Linked DNA regions of Danio rerio. The protein of the gene in region 2 purifies or fractionates together with the protein of the main gene of each other region. This does not show direct contact. Links are inferred from orthologs where the notes say so. Each region holds a gene or a part of one and is shown on either strand. Other genes may lie near its edges.

Region 1 (4,151 bases), on a different chromosome or scaffold from region 2:
CAGTTTAGTTCCAACCCTGCTCGAACACACTTACCTGTAGGTTTCAAACAAGCCTGAAGGACTCAATTAGTTTGATCAGGTCTGTTTAATTAGAGTTGGAACTAAACTGTGCAGAGCTGCGGCCCTTTTGGAACTGAGTTTGACACCTGTGCTTTAGATCAAGGGTGTAGAATTAGCATGGACTGAGGGTACATGTCACCACCATTATCCACAGATTATTAAAATGCTCCCACCAATAATTTAGTCACCTCCAAAAATAAAATCATTCATTCATTTTCAAGATTTTCCTGGGGCGAGTCGCGAGGGCAGTAGTTTTAGGAAAGAACCCTCCAGCGTGTCCTGGGTCTTCCCTGAGGCCTCCTTAATTCCGGTGGGACATGTCTGGAACACCTCCCTAGGTAGGCGTCCAGGAGGCATTCGAAACAGAGCCACCTCAGCTGACTTCTCTCAATGTGGAGGAGCAGAGGCTCTACTCCGAGCTCCTCTCGGGTGACAGAGCTCCTCATTCTATCTATAGGGGTGCGCCCTGTCACCTTGAGAAGGAAACTCATTTCAGCCGCTTGTATCCGAGATCTTGTCCTTTCGGTCATGACCCAAAGCTCATGACCATAAGTGATGGAACGTAGATTGACCGGTAAAGATTTGCCTCTCAACTCAGCTCCTTCTTAACAACAATGGACCACATTACTGCTGCTGCTGCACCAATCCGCCTGCCAATCTCACATTCCATCCTTCCTTCACTCAGGAACAAAACCCAATACTTCAACTTCTCCACATGGGGTAAGGACTTTCCTCCAACCTGGATATATTGCAAACCTCATTTTCCCGGTGGAGCCCTATGGCCTCGGACTTGGAGGTAATAGATATTCAAATATTAAATGTTATTTGTAGATATATTTTGGCATATATTACACAAGTATTTCTAAAACCATGATCTCAGTTCTGAGAAAAAAGAAAAGGGGGATAAAAACAATTTTAAAGATGTTTATTTATTTTTTTACTGCAAATAATTATTGTCTCACAATGATTCTAACCAACTTACTCCAGTTTGATAGCTTCTTTATGGAAATAAAATGGGTAATATGCAGGTTTAGGTTTACTGTACACAAATGTAATTTGAGAACAAGCCTATCCAGAAGAATATTCCATGAAATAAAAGCGTGACAACTCAAAACCAACTCTTTTATTTTCAGTAGAGAAATCATCCGTTTTATAATGGCTTATAATGTGTACATTTCTTTGTCGTGTAAACTCTTTCGATAAAAACTATATGCGGATGATCTGGCGGGAGCGCCTGAAGCAGAGACACGTGTTACACGGTATATATTCCTACTCTATAGGTTCCTACACTGCTTATCCTATAGATGTGAGGCGGAGCGCGGAAGCTCTAACGTGTGACACAGAGGGAAACTAGTCTAGCGCTTCCCGGAAGCGAGACCGCAGAATCATGGCGACCGTCTCAGTGTGCCAGTACCAGCCCGGCGGTTTCAGTTTCGAAAACTGTAGGAGGTGAGTTTTAAGCGTCTGTATCATTTGTTATTATGCCGGGGACGTTGGATAATTATTGTGTTTTTAATTCGTCGAAAAGCCCGAGAGTTTAAAACAAGTTTAACGGCATTTTAATGATCGGTTGAGCCACGGCCTGTGTGAATGACTCAGGAGAATTTGCTCAAGCTTATTTGAATAGCGGATTTAATAAGTAAAACACATTATGATTAGCATTGCGTTCTGTGTGAAATAAAAAAATATATAAATATATATGTTTATTAATATGAAAGAGTACGTTTTTTTGTTAGTGTTGATAATGTGTTGTCATTGTTGGACTGCGGACCCCACACCTAAAGTGTGTATGCAAGTTCACAACAAAAATGAGCATGTAAACTGTGGATTAATTTGTTTTTCATTCTGTTCTGGCCTAAAACATTTTTTTATTTAATCAATACACGGTGCGGTTTGAGTTTGATGTTTTAAAAGGTAAAACACAAAATCATTGTTCATGTTTTGTTATTGGTGGGCTGCGGACCCCGTCCACACAGTCTGTATCTCAATTAACGTTACACCAAACTGACTTTTAAAGTGTAAATTAAAGTGAGTTTCATTCATATATAAATACATTTTAAGTCAAAAAACCATTTGATTTGTATTTAAAACTTACTCAACGGAAAGGTTAAGTTGCATATACAGGTGGGTCTTTTTGGAACAGATGAATCCAATACTTAAGTTATTGTACGTCTTTTAAATTATGATTTCTTTTATATTATTTCCTTTAACCCGACTTAGTTTCTTTTATAAACCGGAATATTTATATATGTGAATAAAGGAGTGGTGAGAAAGCAGGAGATCTGTATCTGATCCATACAGTCAACGTGAATGTAAAACATAATGCTTGTTGTACATTTGCTGACTGGAAAAACTAGTGGCTTTCTGCTTGTTAATGTTGGATATTATCCATTTTAGAGCAGATTTTTGTAAGATAGAGAGCTGAGCAAACCCATCTTTTTTATTATGAACCATTTAGTTATGGCCCGTGTGAATGACTCAGGAAAATTTTGAACACAGTTTAATTAGCTCCAGCTCTTTTGAATCCGTTTAATTGCGTAAAAACACAAACTAATGTATATATTATTTATAAAATATACAATTTAGTTTTTTTGTAATTTTGTAATGTATTTTTTTTATTTATTTTTATTTTTTTTAGTTTACTAGTAGTGTTTTTTTACACTGACACTCTGCAGCCCCGATGTCATGTGTTTGTACCAGGTTTGTACACAAAAATCTAAATGAACTTAAGTTTTGTTTATTTTTAATTTGTTAAATCATTTCTGTTTAATGTCTTATGAGCAGATTAGTATAATGAATAAAAAGAGTCTTTTAGTAGCTGCTAAATCAAATAATTCACTTATTGTTTGTGTCTAAAGTTTTTTATTGTTTTTATGAACAACACAAAGATACATATGTACATAGGCATAGAATGATTACCATTTTCAAGGTTTACCGTGCTTTGGAAAAGTCAAGGTTTTAAAACCACCGGCATTTTCTGCTATACCGTTATTTTTATTTCCTTTTCAAAATACAACAAAATTGTGTTCAAAAGAGGAATTTTAGTTTTTTTTTTTTTTTTTTTTTTTTTTTTTACCCAGACATTTAAAAATAATATATTTTAGAGCAGCAATCACAATACTGTCAAACCATAAAACTTTCATCCAAGGTTGTCTTACCGTCAGAATCTTATACCAGACCATGCTTATATGTACAGTATAAGTGTGAATCAATAAGTGGTGATAAGTGCAAAGTGTCAACTAGTTGTCAAAAGATCTTAGATTTTAGAATTTGTTATTGACATTCTTCTGTATACTATTGATTTCTAAAACATATTGTTGCATAACACCCATAAGAAAATAGCAGAGATTAAATAACAAAATAAAACCTTTGTGCTATTTTAGAAATGCTCTTCTGGAGGCAGACATCACTAAACTGGGTTTCAGCTCTCCTGCTGCCCGTAAAACCGGAACCACTATCTGTGGGATTGTTTATAAGGTAAGAAAAAAAAACAGTTGAATTTAATGTGTGAAATCCAAGGTTTGACTAGATACTCACGTCTCACTTCTGTCTCAGGATGGTGTTGTTTTAGGTGCAGACACTCGTGCAACTGAAGGAATGATCGTCGCTGATAAGAACTGCTCTAAAATTCACTACATCTCTCCCAACATTTAGTGAGTATAAACTCACGTCATGCATGCTTGTAGTTTTTGATCCCTGACATCAAATGACACTGCATGTTTTTCTGATTTGTTGCATAGCTGTTGTGGAGCAGGTACAGCGGCGGACACTGAGATGACCACACAGATCATCTCCTCCAACCTGGAGCTTCATTCTCTGTCCACCGGTCGTCTGCCACGAGTCGCCACAGCAAACCGCATGCTCAAACAGATGCTCTTCAGGTGACAAACACCTATTCTGCGTGTGCAATATAGATCTTAAATGTAGAATTCTGATGTTTAAATGAAGAGTTTAAAAGCAAAAACCTCTTAGTGCCTTCTGATTTGTATTTTTTTTTTGTCTAAAACGAGCATTTTGTGTGTAGGTTCAGTAATTTCACTTTAATGGAAAGTATACGTGTTCTTTTTATGGCCTTTAAACTGAAATGACTG
Region 2 (3,757 bases):
TCATCTTTATTTCTATAGCACTTTCAAAATGTAAATTGTGCCAAAGCAGATTCACATAGAAGATTATAGTGAATTGAAACCATGTCAGTTTAGTTGTCAGAGTTTAAGTTCAGTTCACTTTAGCTCAGTGTGGTTTTATTTTCACTCCTGATAATCCAAACACTGAAGTGTGAAGCTGCGGTCACACTAGAGTTTGTGTGTGCGAAATTCTGTCGTACGGCGTTGCGAAAAAAGACAGAATTAAACAAGATTAATAGGCATTAAAAAAGCGAGCAATTGCTCCATGTTTAAAATTTCTGTCCAGAGAGGTCATGTTTTGATCCTCGGTTGGTCTCATGCAGTCAAGTGATGCGATTTCGCAGGTCAGAGTTCACCAAGCTTGAACTTTGCACAGCCGCAACCTGCGAAACTTAACGCATGACCCTGCGTTTCCAGTCTGACGCATTCGCGTGCATATGAATAGAAATCTATGGGAGGAAAAGCCCAGTGTGACCGCAGCTTAAATTCATCGATGTGCAGCTCTACAAGTCCTAAACCATGTAAGCCAGTGGCGATAAACACAGGGTAGACATTCAAGACCAGACAGAAAGGGAAGAAAGGAACTTAATGCACAAATAATAACAATAACAGGTGAACATACTACAAGATAACGAGGGAGGGAAACAGAAAAAGGAACCACATGACCAAACACACCTGAATCAAATTAACATGGAGCACATGGGGAAGTAAACACAACACAAGCACATAGTACAGGGCAAACACAGTCCAAACATGAGTCCTAAAAAATGTTAGTGTTCCATTTGAAAAGCGATTAAATTTATACAGTAAATGGCTAAGTGTAATAGTGCATAATGTATTACATTTATTAATTTAGCAGACACTTTTATAAAAGCCATTTACAAATGGGGAAAAAAGAACTTTCAATCACCAGAGTGGCAACATGTGGATGCCATTCCAAGTCTTAATTCATTGAGTTGATTATCTGTTTGTTGAGTCTTTGTACTAAGAGTGTCTGGTGTGTAGAGAATGAGAAAAGAGTGTGTCTCTTACAGGTGCTTTGTAAACCTGTGCTTTACACAGGTACCTGTGTAAAGCACACCCGTGATTGTTGTTTTGATTAGAAAAAGTCTGGCACATATAGAGAGGAAAGAAAAAAGTGTTTCCCACAGGTTGTTTGTCAAGCTAATTCACCTGTGTGAAGCATACTCACAAGTGCACAATGGTAAACAGTGGTGTGATTATTTGGTGCTCCAGTTCTTTTAAAGCAGTGTGAACAGTGTCATCTGACACTTGGTGCACACTGAACAAAGAAACTCTGGGTTTCATTGAAATATAAATGTTACAACAGAATATGATGTCGCAAGGTTCACCCATCTCAGGTTCACAGAATGCTTGAGCATATCTGTTTTTTCATGTTTTAAACTCTTCACAAGTTCTTAACAAAGCAAGCTTACAATATACATAAATATAAATACTTTATTGTTTATTTTAAGCTTATGTCCTAAAAATGACAGTTAATTGAACCAGGGCTAAATTGATTTTTTTTTTTTTGCCCAAACAAATCAAGACAACTACAAGCGTGAACACACCTTAAATGTCTGGGAAGTTGACTTAAAGGGATAATTCACCCAAAAATGAAACATTACCCACTATTTACTCACCCTTAATTTGTGTTCAAAAGAAGAAAGAAACTCATAAATATTTGAAACCACTTAAGATATTTTGAAGAAAACTGAAAGTGCAACAAACAATCAACGTCCTGTAGTAGAAAAACAGAGAGTATATAGATATTTGGGTAAGCTATTCCTTAAAGAGGAGAAATGACTGATTATAATAAAATACCTTGAGCAGGGTAATTATAATGAAATAACTTGAGCAGGGTTTAGTTATTGGCACAACAAAATTGCATAAAACTTGACATTGCAATATTTCCTTACCTCACATTGTGTGGGTTCAAATAAAACTCAAAAATTAATAATTAAAACTAACAAGGTGTCAGCACCTAATAACCTGGTTAAAAACAATTATAACGGAACCTGCTTAGCATATAAAAATAAGTGTTCTTCACAATTTAGATGCAGAGAAATGTGGATCACAATGCTCACAATTAAAACCTGTGTGCTGTATGTACTGTATGCATGCTAAAGTATAATAATTGTAAAATGTTGTGGAGATATGAAATATTAATTGTAATGTGACTTTTTTTAGCTCCCAAGTGTGGTTTCATCAAAGGAAATGAAAGGATTGTGAAGTTACTTGACATTGTGAAACCAGAGATAATGGGTCTGAAGGAGACCTGTATCACTGTAAGTGGGAAAAAGGTTTTAGGAGAGTTCTCAGATTTGTACCAGATATACAGTCATTTTGCAGTAGTTTATCCTTTTTTCCTCAGGTTTCTTGCTGGATTGCTCATCTGATTCCCAAAATTGAAGATGGAAATGACTTTGGAGTTGCAATTCAGGTTATTACATTTTAACACCTAATTAAAGATAGCTGGTTTATATAAACACTGCCAAAAATGTGTTCCTTACTTAGAGTTTTTGTCTTGTTTCTAGTCCAACTATATACAATTCTTAACTCAAGAAGCATTTTATAGACAAGCAAAACAGATTGTCTTAATAAAAGGTGCATTAGGTGATTGTCTTTAGAAACATTTTTTTTTTTTTTTTTTTTTTTTGCTGGTTAAAAATGATTAAAATAAATTATCTAAATGTATTTATATGATATTTGAAATTCTAATTGTACAATGGCTTAGTAATAAATGTTATTTCTGCACCCCGTCGGCCAACCACTAAGCATACAGTAGTCACTTTAGAAAAAAAGTGCGTGAGAGAGTGAGACCAGCGATCTTTGCATGCATGAAATATTGCACATTATGACAAGTTTCTCTTGCTACACAACTGAAAACATTACAGATATAAGAGTTTTTCAATTGATTAGTAGTATGATAAAGTACTGTAAAGTTTTCTAACTGGCGATTGACATGATCTAGTGGGTTTTTTACTGTCATCTTTAAGGTGCACGCATTCGTGTTTCAGGAAGTGTGGCTTTGGATGGCAGTGGAGGAACTGTTTTAAAGATATTATGATGAATAGCATTTTGACTTTTTTGTTAAAACAAGCTGTATAATCTGCCAGTGGGGTAAGAAAAATGCTATTATAGTAAGTAAAAACAAGATCTTGTTTCTTACCCCATTGACAGATTGTACAGCTTGTTTTAAGGAAAAAACTCTCCTTAATTTTGGCATATTATTTCTGAAAACAAAATCATTTTTGCTTGTAAAAATGCCTCTTGGTTGATATATATATATTTATATATATATTTTTTTTTTTCCCTCGATATTTGGACTAGAAACAAGACAAAAAACCTAAGGAAGAAAAGCTTTTTTTGCAGTGCATTCATATTGTTCATTTTAAGATAACCAGTGGCTAAAATGACTTTTAATATTTTAGGAAAAAATCCTTGAGAGGATTACTGCTGTGAAGACCAAAGTCGAGGGATTCCAGACCAACATTAACAAGTATGAGCATTTTTTTATTAAATATTTTAGATTTTGAATTATATACAACAAAGCAAAGTAAAGCAAAGTCAAATATAATAAATAAAGTAATAGTTGGCTGTGGTATATTCCAAAATGTCCAGTACGTAGAGTTTCCAAGAAAGATCAACTGGAGTAGATGAAACCAGCCATATTTTCAGGATCGTGTTTTTTCGCAGAACAGAACCCTTATTTGGTGGATGGATAAGGAGAGTGATG

Evidence for each region. The genes of interacting proteins can lie anywhere in the genome.
Region 1: the proteins of psme2 (region 2) and psmb7 purify together in Homo sapiens (affinity purification with mass spectrometry; 4 studies listed by BioGRID and IntAct, counting the BioPlex papers as one, with this or other methods). This does not show direct contact. The link is inferred for Danio rerio from reciprocal best matches to the Homo sapiens genes PSME2 and PSMB7.

Annotation. Positions count from the first base shown.
Region 1 is NC_133196.1:9,696,600-9,700,750, forward strand, and holds the start of psmb7 (proteasome subunit beta type-7), read left to right. Parts: upstream 1-1,351; 5' UTR 1,352-1,447; coding exon 1,448-1,509; intron 1,510-3,443; coding exon 3,444-3,537; intron 3,538-3,615; coding exon 3,616-3,713; intron 3,714-3,800; coding exon 3,801-3,941; intron 3,942-4,151. UniProt on the Homo sapiens protein: Component of the 20S core proteasome complex involved in the proteolytic degradation of most intracellular proteins. This complex plays numerous essential roles within the cell by associating with different regulatory particles.
Region 2 is NC_133187.1:13,894,863-13,898,619, forward strand, and holds part of psme2 (proteasome activator complex subunit 2), read left to right. Parts: intron 1-2,208; coding exon 2,209-2,306; intron 2,307-2,392; coding exon 2,393-2,461; intron 2,462-3,452; coding exon 3,453-3,520; intron 3,521-3,757. UniProt on the Homo sapiens protein: Implicated in immunoproteasome assembly and required for efficient antigen processing. The PA28 activator complex enhances the generation of class I binding peptides by altering the cleavage pattern of the proteasome.